3 linked regions of the Lepisosteus oculatus genome follow. The main gene of each other region encodes a partner of the protein of the gene in region 2 in a complex. Links are inferred from orthologs where the notes say so. Each region holds a gene or a part of one and is shown on either strand. Other genes may lie near its edges.

Region 1 (7,478 bases), on a different chromosome or scaffold from region 2:
GGCTCCTGCCCGGATACTAGTTCCCAATTTACTTTGATTGTGCATAAAGCTCAAGAACACTGCTCTGGATAAAAACCTCGCCAATGTATTAAGGCAAAGACCAAATCATCTCTGCATTTGCCACATGTCCACTCTGCCCTTGACTCAAGGAAAAGGCTGCCCCCCATTGTAGTTGTTCTGAGAAGCCCTGCACACCAATCTCCAATAAAGATAAACAAGACACACATTAAGACAAGGTTAATGAAAAAGGATAATTGCCTAGTGAAAGGTCTGACTGTGGGTAGGCATAATTAGGAGAATAAGAAGCTTAAAGAATGTTAATTAGAATAGTGTCCTCAGGACCAATCAGGAACCAGGACCTTGAGCTATGTGACAGTGACCATTGTTTCCCTTCCAGTACAAAAAACACAGACACCGCATTACACTCTTGTTACCAGCAGGTCTCGAGTGCACTGCACATGTACCTCTGCTGCCAAAATAGTTTAAAATTAAGACTTAAGCTAATTAAGCTTATTCTCCTTATACTCACCAGCAGATCCAGTCAAAAGGTCACCAGCACTGCCACCCCTGTCTGCTAATTGTTTTTAAATAAGAAGCGTATATGTATTATTGACCGTTTCTATGTTTTTACATCAAAACCGTACAGCACATTCGTTGCAGGTGTAATGCAGCTGGCAAACAAAGCCATTCTGAAGAAAAGCAGATCCCCAAATTCCCCCCCAAGTGCTTCACATATAGGAGGGGACCCACTTCAGCCAGCACCGATGTGTGGCCCCACCTGTGTGACACACAGCAAAAACAGGTGGAGCAGTGAGAAAGTTAAGGGTGAACTTCAGGTAGGCCAGACCATGCAAGAACAAAATGTAATTTAGCCCAGACACTAGGGTTAACAACTTACTTTTACAAACTCTGCCATGAGATCTTTAATGCCCAAGAGAGCTTCAGTTCCAATACTCAAGTCAGAGCTTCAGTTTAATATGAAGGGTAGCACCTCCTACTGCAGTGTCTCCCCCTCATCACACTGCCATACTGGGGCGATAGTCTAGAAATTCTGGTCCGAGATTGCATGGGGAAATAGTTCCACCTACTCCTTCACCTACCAAGTTAGTCGATACGAGTATGTCTCATCCCAGTGCCATGACTGGTGCGCTCTTTCCTGCCCTGGGAAACACGAACCCCTCACGTTAAAATAAACAAGTAAACGTTTGAAAACCTTACAAAATGTTTCACCCGCGCTGCAGGAATATCTATATAAGACCACACGAGTCCTGCTTGTCAGACGTGACAAGTTAACTGCTAAACTCCACCTTGAACTTCGACAAAAGCCAAAGTCGCCACGCATTTTATGCAGTGCCGTTTCCAGCAAAGGGATTCCATTTTTCCCCAATCCAAGTTATATTTGTTCTTCTTCAACATCACATTTCTTTTCCGTCTAACTCTGACGTAGGCCGCACTTTTCGCGCATGATTTCTGCTAGGCTTCTATACGGCAATGATAGGGCGTCACCTCACCCTTCACACCTGCCGAAAAGCATAAATCAAACACCACACGTGGGATAATATCGCGCTGTGACTAGGCCTCGTATATAAGAGCTGGAGTCAACTCTCCATAGCCAATAAACTTTTGGGTTCGGTGAAGGCGTCTCCGATGTTTGCGGCTTTAAAATTGGTCTCCATGCACCCGCTACCCAGCGCGTCTTCCAATACAAACATTCGTCTTCCAGCAGCGCTACAAGGGCTGTGTACTTTAAAATCAACGCATACAAACACACATCAATTCTTCCACAAGCCCAGTCTCCGTGAATCCCATTTCATGCCCAGATACTGTTTTCCCCTCGCTCCCCCACCCGAGATGCCGCTAGCAACTAATCTTGGGCTTCGCCAAACAACTGCCTACGACAGGCGCAATTAAAGACTGTGAAAGCCATTGGGAAATTTATTATCGTATCCATGCTAACAACTTATGGACAGCCAAAGGTTTATGAGAAAGGATAGAAGAGTAAATCTTCATGATACGCGTCCCAGCTATGAAGACGTCAAAGTGTAGGCTAAAAAAAAAAAGCAAACTGCCTGATAGACTGGCAAATCTCTCCGTGCTAGTAGTTTTGGTTTTCGATAACCTTAAGTAGCCAAGGTACCTATTTTTATGGTGTACAAAAGGTTAACCGTTAGCTTCTGGAGCACAGACTCGGAGGCGACCAACTTTAACGGGACGACCCGAGTCATCAGTGAACCTCCCCCAGCACGGCGTGGGCTTACTGCTACCTGAACAAACGCTCAGGAGCCCGCAATTCAGCTACCACTGGGAACCCACGCTTGCAAAAAAAAAAAAAACCCTTTCGGCTTCAGGCTGGGAGCCAGCGGATTCAATCACAAAAATATCCCCCAGCTCTACGGTCACTATCAAAGCGGCACCCCGCCACACGGATTTTGCAAGAGTTGCACCAACAATTCAGATTTACTTCTGACCCCAAAACACCTCGCCTCGTTGCAGACCGAAACGTGCCCTAACAACCGAGGAGTTCACAGACCAGCGTTTTTAATGAGCATGTATGCCCCTGCCTGCGTTTTGTCTTTAAACCTTCGCCGGCAAGAGCAAAACACACACACGCACACAAGAACACGCAGACGAATACAACGTATCGTTCCCCGCGGCTAGCAACAACGTAGCAGGGATTCCCAAAAGCAAAGCAAAGCGCCACACGCACACAAAAAAAAACTTACTTTTGTGTTTGCCGACTCCCCATGACTGTTTAGCCAGACTCGGACTCCGTATGATGGCCCTACCCGCGGACTTCAAAGCATCCATGCTTGTGAAACCCACAGAAAGAAAGGGGAAGAAAGAGTCCGGGAAGCTCCGGGTTCTACGGCACCGCAGCTCCTGCACTCTCCGCGATGTTAAAGTCACTGTCCCAAACTTTTCTTCCCTTTTTCTTCCTCCCTTTTCCGAAGCCAGCCCCACAGTCGATGGATTATCACGTTTCGCCCCACATGGGCGGTGTTATTTATGTAAATCGGGCGGATAATGTACTTGGCGTTGACGTGGTGCCTTTTTTTTTTTAAAGCGCAGCGGAGGCTGAGAGTCGCTTGGAGGGGAGGGCCGAGCGGGCGAGGTGAACTCGTGTAGCGGAAACCTGACTTTTCCCCTGATTTTGTGTGTGCTAAAATTAAACCAAGGCCGCATTTCCTACAGTTCAAGTAAAGACAAACAAAGGGCACCCCGTCCGTCGCTTGGAGTGACTCAGACTTCAGGAACAACAACACGACCTCTCTTCCTCAGAATGTCGAAGCTGTATCGACTTAGTTCATTTTTAAATCTATATATACAGTCAGAAAAGCAGTCACATCTCACTCATCGACTGCCGAACCAAGAATATAATCGGATGAAATTAAGAACAAGAATATTAATAGTTCACCTCTCTCTTATTATACCCCTTACTGTGCAGATTAAATGTAAACATTAAATAATCCGAGCAAAAATAGTAAATTACGAAGAAGCACTTAGCAGAACTATGAATTATTTTTCAGTCATGGCTTTGCGACATAAAACTATTTGCCATCTCTATAACTGGTTGTTTTTTTTTTTGTTTTTTTTTTGGTGGGGTGTTAAAGATTGTCTTGTCAACTAGGAATTTGGTTCTCAAGTTTGGGAGGCGTGTCAGCCTGACAGAACAGGACGAGTCAGCCGGAGGTCAGGAGGAAAGGTTAATGTTATTTTCAAATGAGCAAAACGTAGGACCGTCTACACCACCAAACAAACTGGGTTCTGGACAAGTCAGTTCCCCGAGAACAGAGAAGTATGTTGTACGTCAAAACAGCAGAGGATCCCATTTGACGTGACCTCATTGTTGTTTTCAGTTTGAAACATGGGCTGTAACTTTCAGGATGTTTTTGAAAAAAAAACTGGACTGTACAGAAAATTCAAGCTGGCGTGTCCCAAATGCTTCCTAAATGTTAGTAAATATAGCCTACAGCAGAACATTGTATTTTTATTTACTCTGAATTGTATGTATTTTTTTTATTTGAATATGTAATATGGAATATACAATACATAATGATTATCTTTTCACGTAGAAAAGGGGCGCTTAGTTCATCTCCAAATCAGCTGTCTGCGCTAACCTAACCGCGCTCAACTGCTCCACCAACCGGGCGTCTTCACGGAGTCTTCTTTTCCCTGCCAGGGCGTTTTTATTTTACAGCACATCAAACGCGGATCCTAATGATTTCAAATCACCGACTCTGGAGCGGATTGTCACAAGGCATCAGGGCAGCCGGGACATCATTTACGCCACAGTGCGCGACATCTGCGGCGCTCCTGTCGAACCGGGAGGGACCCGGCCGCTTTCAGGAATTTAAATGATGAAAAACGAAGACCTAGTTTTGAATGACCTTCATAAACTATAAATAAAGCAATGCGAAGAACCACTGTACGCACGTTTTGTTATAGTTTTTAACTTTTTCTGAAAAGCTGCGCGGAAAAACAAGCAGCTTTTCTTGGATATCTGTAAGAGAGTGAGAGAGCTTACAGTGCGCCCTTGTTGTTAGGAGAATGCGGTCTGCAGTACTGCAAGATAGTATATCAGTTCTAAAGCAGTCGGATCCTCTCTTACAGATACCAGCTATAATGCACATAACTCCAGAACTATCAGATATATGTCAGATGCTGGAGTCAGTCAACCCGTAGGAAAAAGAGGGGCCTCTTTCTTTTTCCCCAGCCTGTATTCCACGCGTTTTTACTTAAATAACACTCCACGCACATCTTCCGCTGCTAAGGAGCTACATCGTGTAATCGACTTGCGGAACATCTAGCCAATCTTGTGACAGGAGCTCCGTTTCAACACAGGAATGATACAGAACACGTGTCGTTTGTTCTTTCATCTCAAGTGTGTCTCGCTCAGCTACTGTAGGTGTCAGTCTGTGGCAGTGCAGTAGAAGTCTGCTGTACTCAATACATGCCTCTGAAAATCTGCAAAAGCAATACACATCACAACCTACATACAGTGTAGAGTTTCCATCAGAATTAAACTTCTGTCTGGATTTCAAATGGGAATTGAAACTCGCTGATGTTTTAGAATAGAGTACAGAACATTACATATGGCTTATAGTATTTTCCCCACTAATTACAGTGGAACTCTGCGGTTTACAGTACTGTATGTACACATCATGACCCCTCCTTGTTATTAAAAATGACATCTTGGTTCAATCCCACTTTGGGCTTTGCAAAATCTGGCTTCCCAAATTGTATCCCAAGCAATTTCTTGCTTATAACTGAAGCGGTTCCTCACTTCTGCACTTGATCTGTTGTGTAATGGGGCTAACCTCTGTGTCAGGTGCTATGGGGTGAAAGGTGCTACACAAAGGCATCGCAGGTAGACTCATCCCTCCCTGTCCTCTTCAGAGATCTGACAATTAATCTATAAAGCGTTTCGACCTTGGCTGACTGCAAGCCAAAACTTCAACCTAGCTATCAGCAGCGCGATTGCAAACCAAACAGCTGACAGCATCGTTGGAGCTTCTGCTGGGAGGGAGCCAAAAGACTCCTGTCTTGCCTCGAGTTAAATAGTTTGTGAGTGAGGTGTGGACCGAGGTTTTTCTGAAACCCGTGCTCTGGTCTGCAAGTACATAAGAGCGCGGTCAGTTCTGGTGCAGTGCTGGGGCAGTCTGGTGTCGCACCGCTGCAGCTGAGGCAGAGTCACCCAAGGCCTTGCTAGACGAGAAGCTTCCCACGAGTCTGACTGGTCACCCCTCTCTGCAGCGGCTTGCAGGCATTCCGGGGGCTGACACCGAGGTCCGTGGAATTCCAAAAATCCGGCTTTTCAAGATTCCCGTGGGGCTGCCGAGGGAGTTTGCCGGAGGAGGGGCACCTTTCTCATCTCGAAGGGGATGAGTCTGTTCTTGCTCGTTTGTGGCTTTTTTCAGGGTTTAACTGTACCGGCTGTTCGCACAGAATCCCTTGTGCGCGATTATTCGTGGCTGGTGTTCACAGAGGGGCTTTGTGTGCTGTAACATCATTGTAACATTCATGAGCAAGAGCCTGATGACCTCTGCACTGTGTGCAGGCCACTGTATATCTTTCCTAATTCCTTAAATTTGTGTTTTCATTGTTAGTGTCATAATTGCTGACAATACTTTCAGGGTGTCTCAGTTTGCAGATCAGTCTTGGCATTTGTGCTTAATGTTTCCCAGTTATTTGGTTTATACAGCACACATAATTCAAGGATTTATTACTCATTTCATTATGCTATCCACTGAAAATAACTCTATGTCTCCACTACTTGATATATTTGTGCAAAAAAATCTCATTGGTTTTATTTGATTATCACAAAAACAGGCAAGATCCAAAACCGCATCACTGGTAGACTAATCCCGCCCTGTCCTTGGCAGAGATCCGGCACTTCTGCTCCTCCACTTATAGAGAGCTCTGGCTACGGACAGTGGGTGACAAAACTCAGGCTTGAACCCCTGCACAAGGCTTCCACTATATAGTGTGTACCGACTGACAGGCATGAATCCCTTTTTGACATTACTACACACCTTATGAATTCAGCACTCTATAACTTGTTCCCCTGTTTTTTTTCTTAAGTGAATTATATACTGAAACCTGTTCGTTTAAGCAACACTCCAGCCTGGGATCAATCTCCAAAATCTCCTCCTTCTAGTGCTCTGTCTGCGACCTGCAGTTTAAATGGATCAAGGATGAGACAAACTAGTTTCCAGGAAAATGTCTATGGAAAGACACCTTTCGATCTTGAAACACTTTTCCAGGCAAACGGTAGAAAGAAGCCATTTGAGAAATCATTAGCCTCTGGCTAGGGGCCTGAAGAGCTTCCTGGACTTCGATCTTTGATCCCATCTCTCGAATCTTGCCACTTTCAACTGAAGACAGTGTAATCCCACTCATTAATCCCCAGCAAACTCTGGACACTCACTATACTGGTGGACAGACAGCCGCACACAATCCAGGCCCTGGAGAACTACAGTCCAGCACGAGTCTCATAAAATCATTGCTCACATCCTCCATTTCCGCACCCAAGTTAAAGGCTCATTGCTCCAGTTCCGGGAGGAGAGGCCAGGAAGTCATCTCTGGTCCTTGAGGGCTGTAGACCTGGCCGTGAGCTTTCTCATTCCAGATGATTTCCAAATGGCTTCAACACAGTTACTCTCCCACCTGTCCAAAGTGAAATTCCTCCAGGTCTTTACAACTCAATGAGTTGAACGGGATTAAAAAACCAGCTGGAGAAGGACACAGTCAATCGTGGAGATGCCGTTTTTTTTCCCCTGAGGCACAATATAACCTTTAAGCCCAAAGCATAAGACAGAAAAATGTTAATTTAAAGGACACACATGACTGTCATGTGTAGTTTAAATATAATTTTTAAACTGTTGCAAGCATGAGTCGATTTTCACAATCACAGCTTGTGCAATGCTTCTGTGCATTTTAACAAAGGTACCCCTGAGGACCCGTCAAGCAATACCATT
Region 2 (6,951 bases):
TTCAGCTCTGCCTTCAGCTCAAAGATCTCCCCTGAAACGGGAGAAAAGCACGGCGTCAGCACAGCGCACTGCCCTCTCAGCTCCAGTAACTAATCCATCCATTGTCTAACCACTTCTCCCAGCTCGGGGTCGCAGGGGGGCCAGGATCTCTCCTGGCAAAGCAACGGGTTCAAACACAGGGGGGACATACAAACTCCACACAGACAGCACCCCAGGTCTGAAACTGAAGCCAGTGAGGCAGCAATGCTAACCGGAGTCTTGCTCACTGCTCCATCACTCACAGCAGATCCCACTGATGTTTTAGTGTTGAAACCTATAGAAATCCATTCTTAAAACACAAACAAAATAACCCCATAAACATCAAAATCCTCACTTCTACACCAACAACCTCGTGATTTGGAACTGCAGAACCTTCTAACATGTTAACATGTTGCCGGGACCGAGGAGCTACAAGTGCATAGACCTACATAAATACATTCATACACTATAATAATAACACACTATGCACTCATATCACCACTGAGCTCTTAACACAGAGGAGGCCAAATCTTGTCCTGGAGCTGCAGTTTCACAGGTCTTACAGGTCATACTTATACGTTCAGTTTGTAAGCACCTGGCATTTTGATCGCTATAACTGATTTGGTCCCTTTATGCCAGAAATGGCAAAATACGATCCCTTATAGCTACGGGGAGGGGAAGTTGGTATCTTCATTAGAGAAATGATCACTAAACTACTACAAATCAGCTGTGTCAGTGGTCAAAATGAAAGTGCTCAAAGTGTTTGAGGGAGGCTAGATGATTTGAGGCAGGCCCATAAAAACTGTGGGATTGTAGCTCTCCGAGACCAAGGCTGCCCAGGCCTGTTGTGTGATCTCTTTCCGTACACCTGGTGAGCTACTCTCTTTCAAATGTTCTGGTCTGTTTCTAGAGTCCAGTCCTGACATTAGCCCAACTTCATAGCAAAACAATCAGTATTATATATATTTAAAGCAAAGACATGATCGTCAATTTCAGAAAGCAACCACCAGCTGCAAACCCAACAGTCCAAGATCGATATTGTGAACATTTACAAATATACCGAGGAAAACACAGATGCCCTATGTAAGAAAATCCAACAGCAACCGTTATCCTAAAACAATTCCACTATTTTAATGTCTGTAGTAGAACAGTGACTTTATTCTATAGAACTTTCATTGAATCTGTCCTGTCGTTCACTGCAGTAGCCTGGTTTAGTAACCTGAATACATGCAACAAAAACACACTGAGCGGGACAGTGAAGGCAGCCAGCAAAGTTGTCAGTACACAACAGCTACAGCTGTCAGACATCTTAATCAGACAAGTAGTGCAGAAGGCCAATATAATCACTGACTGTCATGACCCCTTGCTCAGTGAATCTGAACTCCTTCCATCTGGGTGTCGATTTAGACTGTCTGGATTCAAGAGCAATAGAACTAAGTCATCTTTTGCTCCTACAGCTATCAACCGGACAGTTATCATTTGGACAACTGATTATGAATTTCACTTTATTTATAATACTTTCTCATCGTACATGTACCTTATTTGTCAATGGGTTCATGTTGTGTTAAATATATGCTGTAAACGTATCATATCTTTTACCTGCAAAGGCAAAGTTCCAATCTGAGACGGAGTAAAATAAATAGACCATCTCGTGTCATCCATCAAACTCAAACACTCCCCCGAGAAGACTCACCTTTCTTGTTTGTGGTGAAGTACTTCGAATCCGTCATGACTGCAGTTCTTCAGAACAGCTGCGAAAAGGAAAAATGGAACACAGAGTACGTTACTTTGCAGAGAAACACCGGTGTATGCTGGATTTAGAAGAGCTTACTGTATGTTTTCTCTGGGACAGACATAAGCAAAAATACACTGATAATGTTACAAATACTGGAAAATTTTCATTTCCAGTCCCATATAAGGAAATACCTGAATCATAACACTATACAGTACATTTACAGCTCAGACATTGGAATTTGTGTTGGCATCGAACTGACCTATGGAGTGAACCACTTCACCGAGTTCACTGAAGGATATAATTTTTCACCTTGAAGGAAATCTTTCAGCCCAGAAAAACAATATTATCCTTAATCTAAGGGATTTAAACTAAAAACCTGTAACAAACATTGCTATTTTAAATATAAACAATGGTATATTAATCTGAAAATGTTGAACTGTTAAAATATATTTATTCCTTCAACATATTCCTGAGAGGAACCACTTCAATACTCCCGCAATTAAGACCTCAGACTCACGAGAGTACAAACTGTTCTGGTTACTGTCTAGAAGTATACAAATAACCGACTGTAGTCTTAAACCAACTAGAACAGCTGTACCAGTCGGAGAAAACCAGTTAACGGGTCTGGTTAGGGATGCCTAAAACAACTACAACACACTGGATTTAAATAGGCGGTGTGGCAATAATGCACATTCTCAGTAAGGCCTTTACGGGGGAAAAAAAACGCCCAGCCTATTCAGAAAGTATTACAGTTCAAAGTCAAAATCGAGATTTTATAGTCAATTAAAATTAATACGCAATCGCTATCGGTCTCCCTTGTCGAGCGCTGCATTTAGGCTTGACCTTATCAACCGACGCCTGTGAATTACATGTATGGAAATGTGGATCAAGCTCAAGGAAGGACGCCAGAAATGTTTATTTAATTTTCTCAGTTCTTATTGCATGTCCGCTTTTCCAGCAAATGCCGGAGAGCCCTGGACTGCGCAGCCCGGCTTGGGTGTGACCCGGCTCCCGCATCTGCCTGTCCGGGAAAAAACGGTGCGGTGGACTGGGCCTCCCCGCCGGTACCGAGGAGACGGGGACGCGACGCTCACCTGCTCTGGGTGATGGCGAACAGAAGAGCCGAGCGAAGAGGTGACAGAGGAAGCAAGATGCTGGTATCACGGACCAAGGGCGAGAGAGAGAGACACACACACAGGGAGAGAAACCGCACTCCCGGAAAAACAAGACGAGAGGCGGAGGAGGAGGGGAGAGACGCCGGAAGGAGCCAGCAGGGATTCCGGAAGGAGCCGACCGAACGATTTAAGAGGCGGACAGCAAAACATCTGGAGGCTCAGCGAGGGTGGGGAGATTTGCGAGCTGCAAAGAGGAGTTAGTTTGTCTGAAAGCCTCTTATTAATCCAGTTTGTTTTGAGGGGAACTGTTTTAACTACTGGGGATGCGCAGTGATCATTGTTGCGCCTAACCAAGAACATCAACAACAAACCACAAGGACAGGTTATCGACCTTTTTTTTTTTTAATTCATGTTAGTTGTGCCCATCTGGGATTTCAGCACTCCGCCTGCAGAGATCAAGGGCACCTCGGCGCTATGGCCGAGCGCGGAGCCCACCTCAGCTCGGCCTCGCTGGAGCGGGACGACAGGCCCTCTATCTTCGAGGTGCTCGCCCAGGACTCGCTCATGGCCTCGGTCAGACCAGCCTTGCAGCACGCAGTAAAGGTGGTGAACCAGCTCATTCATTTCCTGCTACAGCATCTGGTGTTGCTTCTGCGCCTTCTGCAATTTGTTCATAAAATGCTCATAAAGCTGAAATTTATTAGAAGCGTGAATGCAAAGGTTAATGACTAAATGTAAGGACCCACTTAACTGAAACACGTTTTGTTTTCCTAAGAGGGTTCTGTGACATTTACCTTGCAAAACAGACTTGCCTCCAGCATTTCTAGCCTCTTGAGGCCATGATCATACACAGGTTTTTACTATCCCTCTCCGATAAAGACAGGAAAAATAAACTGAACAGAGACAGAACTGCATTCTTGAACATGATTAATAGGCTTTGAAATTAATCAACCAGGGGGAGGCACGGTGGCACAGCGCTCAGCATTACCGCCTCACAGCGCTGGTGCTCTGGGTTCAATTCAGGACCTGGGGTGCTGTCTGTGTGGAGTTTGCATGTTCTCCCCATGTTTATGTGGGTGTCTTCCAGAGGCTCTGGCTTTCCCCCACAGTCCAAACAGAGAGGGGTAGGGAAAAACTGGCGCTAGTGTGAGTGGCTGTCTACCCTGGCATGGACTGGCGTCCCGTCCAGGGTGTACCTTGCCTTGCACCTGTTGCTTGCTGGGATAGGCTCTGGCTCCCCTGCCACCCCGCTTTGGATAAAGCGATGAGAAAATGATGGGCTGGATTAATCCACAATCGCCCATTATTCTTACAGTGCCCCAGAGAGGAAACGTGTGGAGTTCTGCTGTACTGTCCCTCTTGCCTGTGTGGAAGTTCTGGATGTCCACTGGGGACGAGGGGCGGGGGTGGGCGCACCTGCTTGAGCTTCCCTGCACCGAGTGATCCGAGTCCCGTTCCTCCTCCAGGTGCTGGCGGAGTCCAGCCCGGCCCGGTACGGCGGCCTGTGGCGCTGGTTCGACGAGATCTACACCGCCCTGGACCTGCTGCTGCAGCACCACTTCCTGTCCCGGACCAGCGCCTCGTTCTCCGAGAACTTCTACAGCCTGAAGCGCGTGCCCCCCGGGGCCGGCGGGCGGCTGGCCAGCCTGGGCCTGCCCCGGCGGCAGCGCTGGCGCTCCCTGCTGCTGCTGGCGCTGCTGCCGTACCTGCGGGCCAAGCTGGAGGGGCTCCTGGGCCGGCTGAGGGAGGAGGACGACTTCTCCATCCGCGTGCCGCGCTCGGCCTGCGGCCGGCTCTGCAGGGCCTTCCTGGCCGCCTGGCCCTTCTGCAGCATGGCGTGGGAGGGCTGGGTCTTCTGCCAGCAGCTGCTCTACGTCTTCGGCCGCGCGCGGCACCACTCCCCCCTGCTGCGGCTGGCCGGGGTCCGGCTGGCCCGGCTCACGGCCCAAGACATCCGAGCCCTGGACCTCAAGCCCACAGCGGCGTCCACCTCCGCCTCCCCTCTCAGGTGCGCACCGATCCTACATCTCGCAGAGGTCCTCCCGGGGCCCTGCTGTCCTCTCCTGGCTTTGCCCCAGTGCCGAGAGGGCCGGCTGTGCACTGGTGCAGATCCAGTCTAGAGGAATCCGTGACAGCACAAAACTGGACAACTGCGCATCTTTTCTGCATCGTGCCATGAGTGCTTCACCAAAGTTAATAGGGCATTCGTGTCCTGGAAAGCTTAGTGCCAGGGTACAAAAAAAATGTTATCAAAGCTGTCTAAAATACCCACTATGTGCCTGCAGGGAATTATTCATTTATACCCAGTAAACATTTCAAGAGTGAGCAGAAGTGTCGAGGCAAGTCTTCGCTGCATGATCCCTGCGCACTTCAGAAGTTCAGTTTGGACGCGTTTGTGGAAATGTTAGCACGCCCAGACTGGCAGTGTGGTGCAGAGTTTAACACCGGTGCCGAGGCCCTGCGTTCAATTCCAGACCTGGGGTGCAGTCTATGTGGGTTTCCTCCCATGGTCCAAAGACTTACTGGTAGGTTAACTGGCCTCTAGGGGAAAAGTGGCCTGGTGTGAGTGTGTGCGTGCCCCACAATGGACTGGCGTCCCTTCCAGGGTGTGGCCTGCCTCGTGGCTGTTGCTTGCTGGGCTCGGCTCCGGTTCTCCTGCCGACCTGACTTGGATGAAGCGGTTAGAAAAGAAGGGGTTGGTGGATATAACCAATCCCGCTCCGGAAAAAAGAATTCCCTGCGGAACAGGTCAGCGCTTAAACGAGGCCCCGCAGTAATAACTTCATTTCGTTTTCCTTTCCTAGTGCTGGGGAGAAGCTGCGCCATTTCCTCAGCACCGCGGTGGGGGGGGTGGCCGTGTCCATCTCCACCGGGCTGTCCGTCGGGGTCTTCTTCCTGCAGTTCCTGGACTGGTGGTATTCCTCGGAGAACCAGGGCACCATCAAGGCCCTGACCTCCCTGCCCACCCCTCCCCCTCCTCTGCACCTGGATCAGCCAGAACTTCCTGTGGGCAAGAGCGAGTGTCCTCTGTGCCGCAAAGCCCGCACCAACGACACCGCGCTGGCCACCTCCGGCTACGTCTTCTGCTACCGCTGTGCTTTCGCCTACGTGAAGGCCCACCAGCGCTGCCCGCTGACCGGGTACCCTACTGAACTGCAGCACCTGATCAAGCTCTACTGCCCCGAAGGGTAGACCGCTGGAGAAGCGTCAGTCAAATACTTCACAGGGACATAGCAACAGGGCAGACAGCCAAATCGACGTGTGATGAAAATGGAGCCTGGCAGCTTCGTTTCTGAGGCACAAATTCTAATGTAACAAGAAAGCGCTTTTCCCAGTAGCTTTGGTAAATTTAAACTGGTCATAAAGGACGGCAGATTGCCACGGGGTACCCAGGCCTGTGCCAGACTAATAAGAAAGCTATACACATCCATTCTCATCTCCCATCATGTCATGGTTCCTACACTGTAGCTGAAGAGCACCGTACAAGTCTGTGGATACTTCAGTGTACGTCTTTGTCAAATAATTGCTGGTAAAAAAAAAGTTTCAACCTGCAGTAAATGGTTAATATAATGCTATTAAAGTTTGAGAGTATTCTGTAATTAAGGGAGGCAAGGGCTCATTGTCAATAGGAAAGCATTTCACTTGTTGGTTCCCCTTAGAGGCCTACCAGAGAGCTACACAGGTGCCCTTGTGAAGGGACTAGGTGAACAGGAGCAGGGAGTATTTAAGCTAGCCTATGCAAACTTTGTGCAAATAAGGATTACTTCCCTAGTTTTGCACTTCCACCCCCTTTCCCCCCTAGGCTTTGTTGTAGAATCAGCCCCACTGGCAAGACCCCCCCTACCCTTTCACCCAGGACAAGGACAGGTCTAAACTCACACAGCTTCCAGTGGTGGGATTAGAGTTCAAAGAGATGGGAGGAAACAAAAACCCCCATATTCTATAGGACACCACTCCTTTGAATGAATGAAAAAGGGGAAAATAGGTAGTAGTTACAGTTTTATTCCCCATTACACCGTGAAGCAGAACTTGTACATCTGAACCATTCCTGGGGGAGGGCAGAGTTGAGCCAACAAATACATT
Region 3 (7,663 bases), on a different chromosome or scaffold from region 2:
TTTTTTGTTATCATTTTTATTTTCCTTTGCTCATCTATGTTGTTGAATCTGATACTATAGGATCTTGAGCAATCAGCAACCAAATGAGCTAAGAGTTTCCTGTTGTTTGTAGCCTTTCTTCTGTTTTAATTTCTTTCTTGTTGCCTAATTTCTTTCTTGAGGAAAAAGGCCTAGCTAAGGATCAGACATATAGGGAAACAGGTGTTTCTTCTGCCTCACATATGGGTCAGCCTAGGTAAGCTTGCTGCTCCACTTTGACTCCTTTCCTGTTTCTGAAGATGGTGAATAAAGGGCTTTCTTGCTGCCTAAACACTGCTAATGCCGTTGGTGCAAATACTCCTTCAGGTTGGGACAATTTCTCAGTTCTCTGCATTTCTTTGCCCCATCTGTATGTTGAATCTGTCTTGATACTAATATCAGATTTTGATAAGGGCAAGTATTGCTTTTTAGTTCTTTTTATATATAGGTACAGTACAGTATACAGCACTGTCCATATGGAGCAAACAGGAATATAACAACCAGGAATATACAAAAAAAGGCCGCAGTCAAAATCTTTTGACTCTTTAAGTGTATCATCACTCTTGCAAAATACAGATAACATTCTATAAGTACAAGTTAAAACTGTTATGTTTGCTGTACAACATCTGCAATAAGAAACATTTACTTTTGTCATGTAACTTAATCAAAACCCTCAAACAGTGAAAATATAGTAGCTATTGGAACACATTGTTCATAATGGTTTTCCCAGAATTGTTGTGCATCTGCTTCTATGACAAGAATTTCTGAATAGTGTCATGTAATTTAAATGAGCTTTTGGCAAAATATGATCAGTCTGTAAATTATGTCTTTAGTTTTGCAAACCTTGCCATCATTGTAAACACAAAATCAATTTAATCAGGGGTTTGATTGAAAAAGAATGAACAATAATTTGAAGAGGAATAGACTCAAGATGGCTAAACATGAGCTTCACTTCATTAGGTATGAAGCAGCGTTTTTGAGCAATGCATTTCCAGGCAAAATGTCTCACAATGTCTTAGATTAAAGGCTTTTAAAATACCTCCAATTTGTTAAAAGTGAAGTGATTGAGTGAGTGAAACCACACACAGCATCACGAATAAGAACAAAATAAAAATAAGGAATAAATAAAATAGAGAAACAAAGCATTTATCCAGAGACACCTATTTCTTGGCACTTTAAACAAGTGTTGAAAACTGGGCTGTATCAATGGTGAAAGGCTGGAACATTTGCTGAGATGCAGTGTTTGACTACAGCGGTATTCCAAGTTACTTTTGAGCTCACAAGAACAAGAACTTGGACTGAAACAAGTGATGGGCAACCAACCAGAAAGAAGCAAATTGCAAACGCATTCTGCTTCAAGCAAATTGCCCTTTGCATGCCTTTTTCCTTCAGAAAGAGGAGAAATTATGTACAGTAAATCATATTTTGAGTCTCCAATGAAAGTTGTAAATCACTTTGAGTCACTAGTCAGAGCAATTTCTCATTGAAATCGAATGTTTTGCTTTTAATTCCTTAAGTTGTTCAAGTTCTAAAGGAATTTAGTTAAGAAAAGCTTGCCTTACTAATGGGAGATCATGATACAAACATTACATGATGCTATGATCCTTGAAATCTAGGCCTATTGGTGTCGTAGCTGATCTACAGTACAGACCCTCAAACTATCTTAAATCCCATTAGAAGGATGTATCTCCTAGATTCCAGAGAGACCAGTATATCAAAGGGAATGTCAAACAGTTCTGATGGGTGTCTGCCAAAATCTGTGTACCAGAGAAAAAAGTTCCTAATTTTAGAATATCTCACTAGATCACAATGGTTGTTAACCTACAGTGTGAAAAGACATGAAGATATGTGAACATTATCATATAGGTCACTGATAAGAGTATGCTCACTGGCGTCCAAACTTTGAAAAGATAGTTAAACCCAATTTAAATACCTATGTATCCGCATCAGCTTTTTAATGCATCCATTAAAAGGAACACACATAGTGAAGTATCAGTTTTCTGACGGACCCTTGATGAGCTGCTAATTGTGGTGCCATAACAACCTGGCAAATCTAGCACATACATGATTAGTTGTGCACTCCTGCTGGCGGAGCTCTATCAAGGCTTATTATTCCAATACTGATGGTCCTTTATGAGGTTCCATAAAAATACGCAGCAAGCCAGCAAGCATGAGCACTTACAGTCACACAGACCCATAATGAGGGTGTGAGCAGACTAACACGTCTTACTGCATGCTTGCAGAGTGATACATCATTCAACGTTCATGCAAGGAGAGGGGGGACAAAAACTTATACTGCCTTAGGCTGACAAACAAAAGACTGCATCAAGAACAACACAATTACGACATCAAAGGATTTAATTTGGCATATGTTATATGAATGTACGCTACTATACATAGAAAACCACATATGAACTAAAGCCCAATAGAATACATGAATAATAAATACGACCCATGTCAAAGAAATCCTTACCTTGTACCTTTATCGCCCATTGTCAGGCTTGCTGTGTTGCTGAGAGCAGCCTTCAGTCTTAGTTCCAATGTTCAAGGAGGAGACTAGTCTGCTATACGGAAAAGGATGCAAGAGGTCTTGCTTATGTTTAGGCAGCCACTTAGAATGTGCACGTAAATGCAAGTGGAGCTCCTGTTAAACTGCTTTTTTGTGCTGTTAACACTCCTCTCCCTGTGAATGAAATTAAACAGCGTCCCTGTTGTTCTTTTAAAATATAAATTGTTAGAATTTCCTCTTGATCTTCCTCTTGCTCCCCTTCGTCTAGTATATATGGCTAGTATTGTTGAATTGCAGTGTAAATCCAGATACGCAGATTAAAGCTTCTGTGCAGCCAGAATCCTCCAGATTACTCTTATTAATGTGAATCCTCCATCAGAGTTCCGTTCTAGCTCTTTGCCTCCCTTTCTCTGCTGCTCTGTATCCCTCCCTCTCTCACTCAATCTGTGTGTGTGTGTGTGGTGTCTGCGTGTGTGCCGGTCAGGATGAAACATCCCTCTCATTCAAGCCACAGCCTCCCTTGCTCAGCTTAAAACTACAATGCTGAGGAAAGGCAGCAAAAAAAAAAAATACAGCAGTCACATGCTGACCTGACTGCAGGTCAGTGAAGGAAAAGTGCTGGATGGGATTAACTTGAGTTTTGATATTCACACCATTGTATTAAATCCATGGTCTGTTGTGTCACAGTGCATCTCTCCAACAATAAATTGGGCTCACCTATCTCTGTCATTTCAATTGATAGTGTGCCAAACAGACTGCATGACTGCAAGTCACCTTGAGGATGTAGGGGATAATGTCATGGAAGATGATACACATCATATGCATAGTTTGCAAACCTCTGTGAGAAATATGTTAATTGACTAGCGCATAGCACACCAGGGGAATCGCATAGCACAAACCTTTACAGGCTGAATATCATGGTTTTCACCATGACCATGATTACCAGCAGTAAGACAGCTATTCAAAGACGAGATTAAATTAAAGTTTGATTTCTCCGATTGAGTCTGATTAAACCGTATCAGTTTTAAGTGTAATTTCTTTAAACAAACAGCAAAGAAAAAAGGCAGCAAGCTACTGTATAGGCTAAGGAACAGAAGGTCACTCTGGATTAAAGTATCAAATGCATACGGACCAAGGACCTTACACTGTGGAGAAAGAATGAATGGGGCTGCCATGAACACCCCTTGGAGGCCATGTAATGTGTCTGGTTCATCACTCAAACATCACAATTGCTGTGTGTTCTATGGTCCATGGTTACAGATACATAAATGCTTGAATTTAGCAGAAATTTAACTTCATGTATTGATGCATCATATAGGAATGTGTGTGTGTGTGTGTGTGTGGGGGGGGGGGGGGGTGTGAGCTATCCATAAGTTCAATGCAACAAGTCACAGTTATCTAATATAGATTATGAATTCATGTGATGTAGGCATGACACAGATAATGAAAAGATACCCATTTGATACAATTGGTTTATAAAACTAAACACAGTACCATGCCAAATATAATTTTACTCTATTATCTAGTGCAGATCCATCGTTTTATATTTATTTTAATTTAATATTCAAAACCCTGTGGGGGAAAAAAACAAGCACAAAACATTCAATTTAATTGAGTATCTTTTTTTCTTGTGCACCAACCTTCACAGAGCAGCAACCCACACAGAACTATTGTCAGCGTGCAAAGCAGCTTTTCTACCGTAAAGACAGTGCCTTCTTGAGCAATCAATATTTTCACTAATTCCAGCAAACAAAGCTGTCAAACACAGGTTTTGTGTTCCGTAAGTTGTCATTTCTTTCTCAGCACTCATTTTCAGTCAATGACAAAGACTTTGACCTTGGATTTTTGCAGCAGTGAATGTACTGTGTAGAGAGTTTTTCAAAACGCCCTAGGCAAGCACAAAAAAAGTGCTACAGCATTGTATGACACATAGAATATGACCCACTCACGTTAAAATGTACACCAGCATTGTCATAAGCTAGGAAGCCTTAAGAAGTGCCACATTTTCCTTAATACTTCTTTTTTCAGCCTCACATCTAGATCCTACAGTAAACCATAACATAATTTATAAATATGATTTCCACGCAAACAGCATCTTTTCTCATTTGCAATTAGATTATGCCACACAAAATTCATAAAAAGCTTCCAAAACTCATCTGTTGCGTGGCAATTCTCTGTTCACAGGTAGCTCTACATTTCAAGTGTTGGCTCAATCCCCTTTCATCAAAGGGTGAAACTGTGAGCCATGCTTTCTTTTTGGCATTCAGATTACATTTTAATCTTAGCAGGTCATTGAAATTCCCAGTGGTCAAGTGTGCATTGGAATATTGGGCTTTGTGTCTCCCAAACTTAAATCCAGATTTGTCCTCCATATACAATACAATATAACATCCCAGAGCATATATTCAATTCTCTTTGTATATTTTTAATAATTATATATTTTCACTATCCTAATAATCGTAGACTTTCACATCACTTGCAACAGGTGTTTTTAGAAATGTAACAGTACAGTAAGTCATAGCTCACTGCCCTGCCCAGTTCAGTTAAAAAACCTGTTACTCCAGATGCTTTTCCACAGTTGTAGAGCAATGAATATCAGCTCTCACATATTGATCATAAGAGAGATTTTAAAGACCCAGAACTGCACAATAATCAAAACAGATTGACACAGGTGGCGTTGTCATTGACCTCCAGATATCAGCATCAGTTGTTATCTTTAAAACATCTGGAGTATATTTACCTGATGTCACAACCTCCTTACGTTTTTATCAGCAGGTATATTTGACTTAACAGATTTAGCTTTGAATGTACAGCCACACATTGATCAGTGTGTTCAAGAAAACTGTAATTTACATACAGTATGTAAGTGGGGAAAATGGCTATGAATACTAGGTTTGTTTTTAATCGTCAAGGAAAAGCAGTCACAAAAGATGCATATTGACATCTGCAGTCAGAAAGGCCAAGATTATTACACTGGGGAGAAAAGATTTTTATCTTTTATCAATTTAACAAGAAAGCAAGCTGAAGTCTTTCATTTTAAATGCCTACAGTGGGAGACAGTGAGATACAGATCAATGACAAGATGACTTTCAGGTCAACATCCAAGTACTGTGTTTAAAAATTATAATCCTTTCTCTACGTATTAAGCCAACAAAGAAAAATTCTTGCTCTGTAAATGATTCCCAGTATTAACAAAATCATATCTCAGATACACTCTGGTAAAAAAAATTGAGACTCGTTTTTGACACTATAATGGGTCATTCACTTTAAAAACAAAAACAATTTTTTTATGAAATACAACATCTTAGAGCAATCATGGTCTTTATTGCGTGTCAACAAGATACAGATTATATCCTATGGTCTTTATTTACTAAAGAAACAAACATAAAGAAGAAAGTGCAAATAGGTGTGCTGCCTAATTAATATCAAAATAATCGCAGTATAATGCTTCCTTTGCAGAATAATCTTTTTCAAATGCCCTTGTACCTCATACACTATAAAACCAAGCTGTAATTTTAACAAAATATCAGCAATAAATTCAGAGAATGAAAAGGCAGCAGTAGCAGCATGAACAATGGACAGTTCATGATAATATAATTTTATTTATAACCCTTTTTCTTCAAACTGAAACCTCTGTGCAATAGCACACAACATATGCAAAAGGCAGGTCTGAGTTTCGGGAGTGTCAACAGTGACAGTCTCTAATGGGACTGTGCAGTGAGCACCACAGACGTGGCGATGCACACGAGAGGCCCTGGCACTCACAGTTGAGTTCGTTCTTCGGCAGAGCTGTAGTACAAGTTTTGGTTCCTGTTATTCATTCTTTCCTCGGAGTCCTCTCTACTTTTAAGGGCTGATTTGCTCGTCTCAGTATCATTTCAGAGTGCAGCCCATCTGCTCAGGAAAGATTCCCTTCAAATCCTGGTGGCTACTTGCAGTCTGCTGGTTGAGGAAAATCGCTCTCATGTGTGTCAACATGTTTGAGAGGATTCTTTTAACGACAGACAGCGCGGCCCCAGTCCGTCAACCACAGAAGTAATCATGATACTGAGAACCCGTTTGGGAGTTCTCAGGAACAGCAGAAACCTTTAGTATAAAGCTGGTTTTCAGTTTATTTTCTTTATAAAACAATTAAGGTAACATTTCCTGTCCTACATGTGCCTCAGTTTACTGGATTTGTAAAACACCCTCTATCTCTGAAGTGTGATTGTGGTTTCGTCTTTGCACTTTATTGCAAATTCTTAAAAAATGCTCTGTGTGGTACGACTTGCCCCCATCCAGAAGCAAAGAAAACTTGTTTATAGGTTGAAGATCTACAAAATAACAAAATACAAAATCGCTAAATGGATGTGTGGCTTTCCTGTTGGGCACAGGGCTGTACCACAAAAGTGCTGGAGCTTTTCAGTTATGTTAATTACCCTTTTCAGAGCCATTAAAGATATTCAGCATGCTGGAGTGCAGTCAGGCATGATAATGATATTATATACAATCTACAAGTAACAATCCTTCTTTGTCTGGTGTAGTGCTCAGCAATGTTTTGCAAGGATGTTACAATAAATGATAAATATTCCCAACTGAATATGTTTTTAACATTTAGGGTACCATGATGCAAGAACAACAATTCTTAAAAAAGAGTTTTTGTTTTTAACAAAGTGTATTAAAATTCAAGATATCAGAAACATTAATATCTAACCTTTATGCTACAAAAACAAAGAAACATTCCTATAATGTAGTTTTGCTCTCTTGTGTAGTTTTAGTTTTTACAGAAATATCAATGGATTCATGTAAAACATAACAATATTCACATTATGGCTGATAGGGGTAGTTTTCAAGATACAATCATATATAATTGTAATCACTGTAATATGCAAAGGAAAAAGTTCACTGAAGAAGGCTCCACAGCCGAAACATTGTTTTTTTTCTTCTCTTTTCAGCATGGAATAAACCTTTACTTGTTCCTTTGCAGCTTACACATGCTGAGGCAGCTCTCTACTTGAATCGCTGTAATATATCTTGTTTATAAGTATACATCTTTGATACCCATGGCTTAAATGGAACCAAGTAAAAAAATGAAAAAAAAACAATATAAAAACAAAATATTGATAATATTAAAGAAACCTAAATCTGTAGGTTTTT

What was found.
Region 1: the proteins of ap2b1 (region 2) and ldlrap1b are in contact, whole or in part, in a crystal structure (PDB 2G30), measured with the Homo sapiens proteins. The link is inferred for Lepisosteus oculatus from reciprocal best matches to the Homo sapiens genes AP2B1 and LDLRAP1. Residues at the interface, in NP_001273.1 of Homo sapiens: Arg834, Gln835, Phe837, Leu838, Trp841, Glu849, Gln851, Ile876, Ala877, Arg879, Val881, Glu882, Gln884, Met886, Tyr888, Glu902, Arg904, Ser915; in NP_056442.2 of Homo sapiens: Asp253, Leu255, Asp256, Ala258, Phe259, Ser260, Leu262, Ala263, Gln264, Arg266, Thr267.
Region 3: the proteins of ap2b1 (region 2) and beta-arrestin-1 are in contact, whole or in part, in a crystal structure (PDB 2IV8), measured with the Homo sapiens proteins. The link is inferred for Lepisosteus oculatus from reciprocal best matches to the Homo sapiens genes AP2B1 and ARRB1. Residues at the interface, in NP_001273.1 of Homo sapiens: Arg834, Gln835, Phe837, Leu838, Trp841, Lys842, Asn846, Glu849, Ile876, Ala877, Arg879, Val881, Glu882, Gln884, Tyr888, Glu902, Arg904; in NP_004032.2 of Homo sapiens: Asp384, Asp385, Val387, Phe388, Glu389, Phe391, Ala392, Arg393, Arg395, Leu396.

What each region holds. Positions count from the first base shown.
Region 1 is NC_090706.1:3,839,336-3,846,813, forward strand, and holds the start of ldlrap1b (low density lipoprotein receptor adapter protein 1b), read right to left. Parts: upstream 3,050-7,478; 5' UTR 2,809-3,049; coding exon 2,724-2,808; intron 1-2,723. UniProt on the Homo sapiens protein: Adapter protein (clathrin-associated sorting protein (CLASP)) required for efficient endocytosis of the LDL receptor (LDLR) in polarized cells such as hepatocytes and lymphocytes, but not in non-polarized cells (fibroblasts).
Region 2 is NC_090721.1:1,320,190-1,327,140, forward strand, and holds the start of ap2b1 (AP-2 complex subunit beta), read right to left. Parts: upstream 3,003-6,951; 5' UTR 2,848-3,002; intron 1,770-2,847; 5' UTR 1,749-1,769; coding exon 1,712-1,748; intron 32-1,711; coding exon 1-31. Other genes in the region: pex12 (peroxisome assembly protein 12), read left to right, coding at 3,343-3,471, 4,335-4,876, 5,673-6,060. UniProt on the Homo sapiens protein: Component of the adaptor protein complex 2 (AP-2). Adaptor protein complexes function in protein transport via transport vesicles in different membrane traffic pathways.
Region 3 is NC_090700.1:2,564,660-2,572,322, forward strand, and holds the start of beta-arrestin-1, read right to left. Parts: upstream 3,045-7,663; 5' UTR 2,512-3,044; coding exon 2,492-2,511; intron 1-2,491. UniProt on the Homo sapiens protein: Functions in regulating agonist-mediated G-protein coupled receptor (GPCR) signaling by mediating both receptor desensitization and resensitization processes.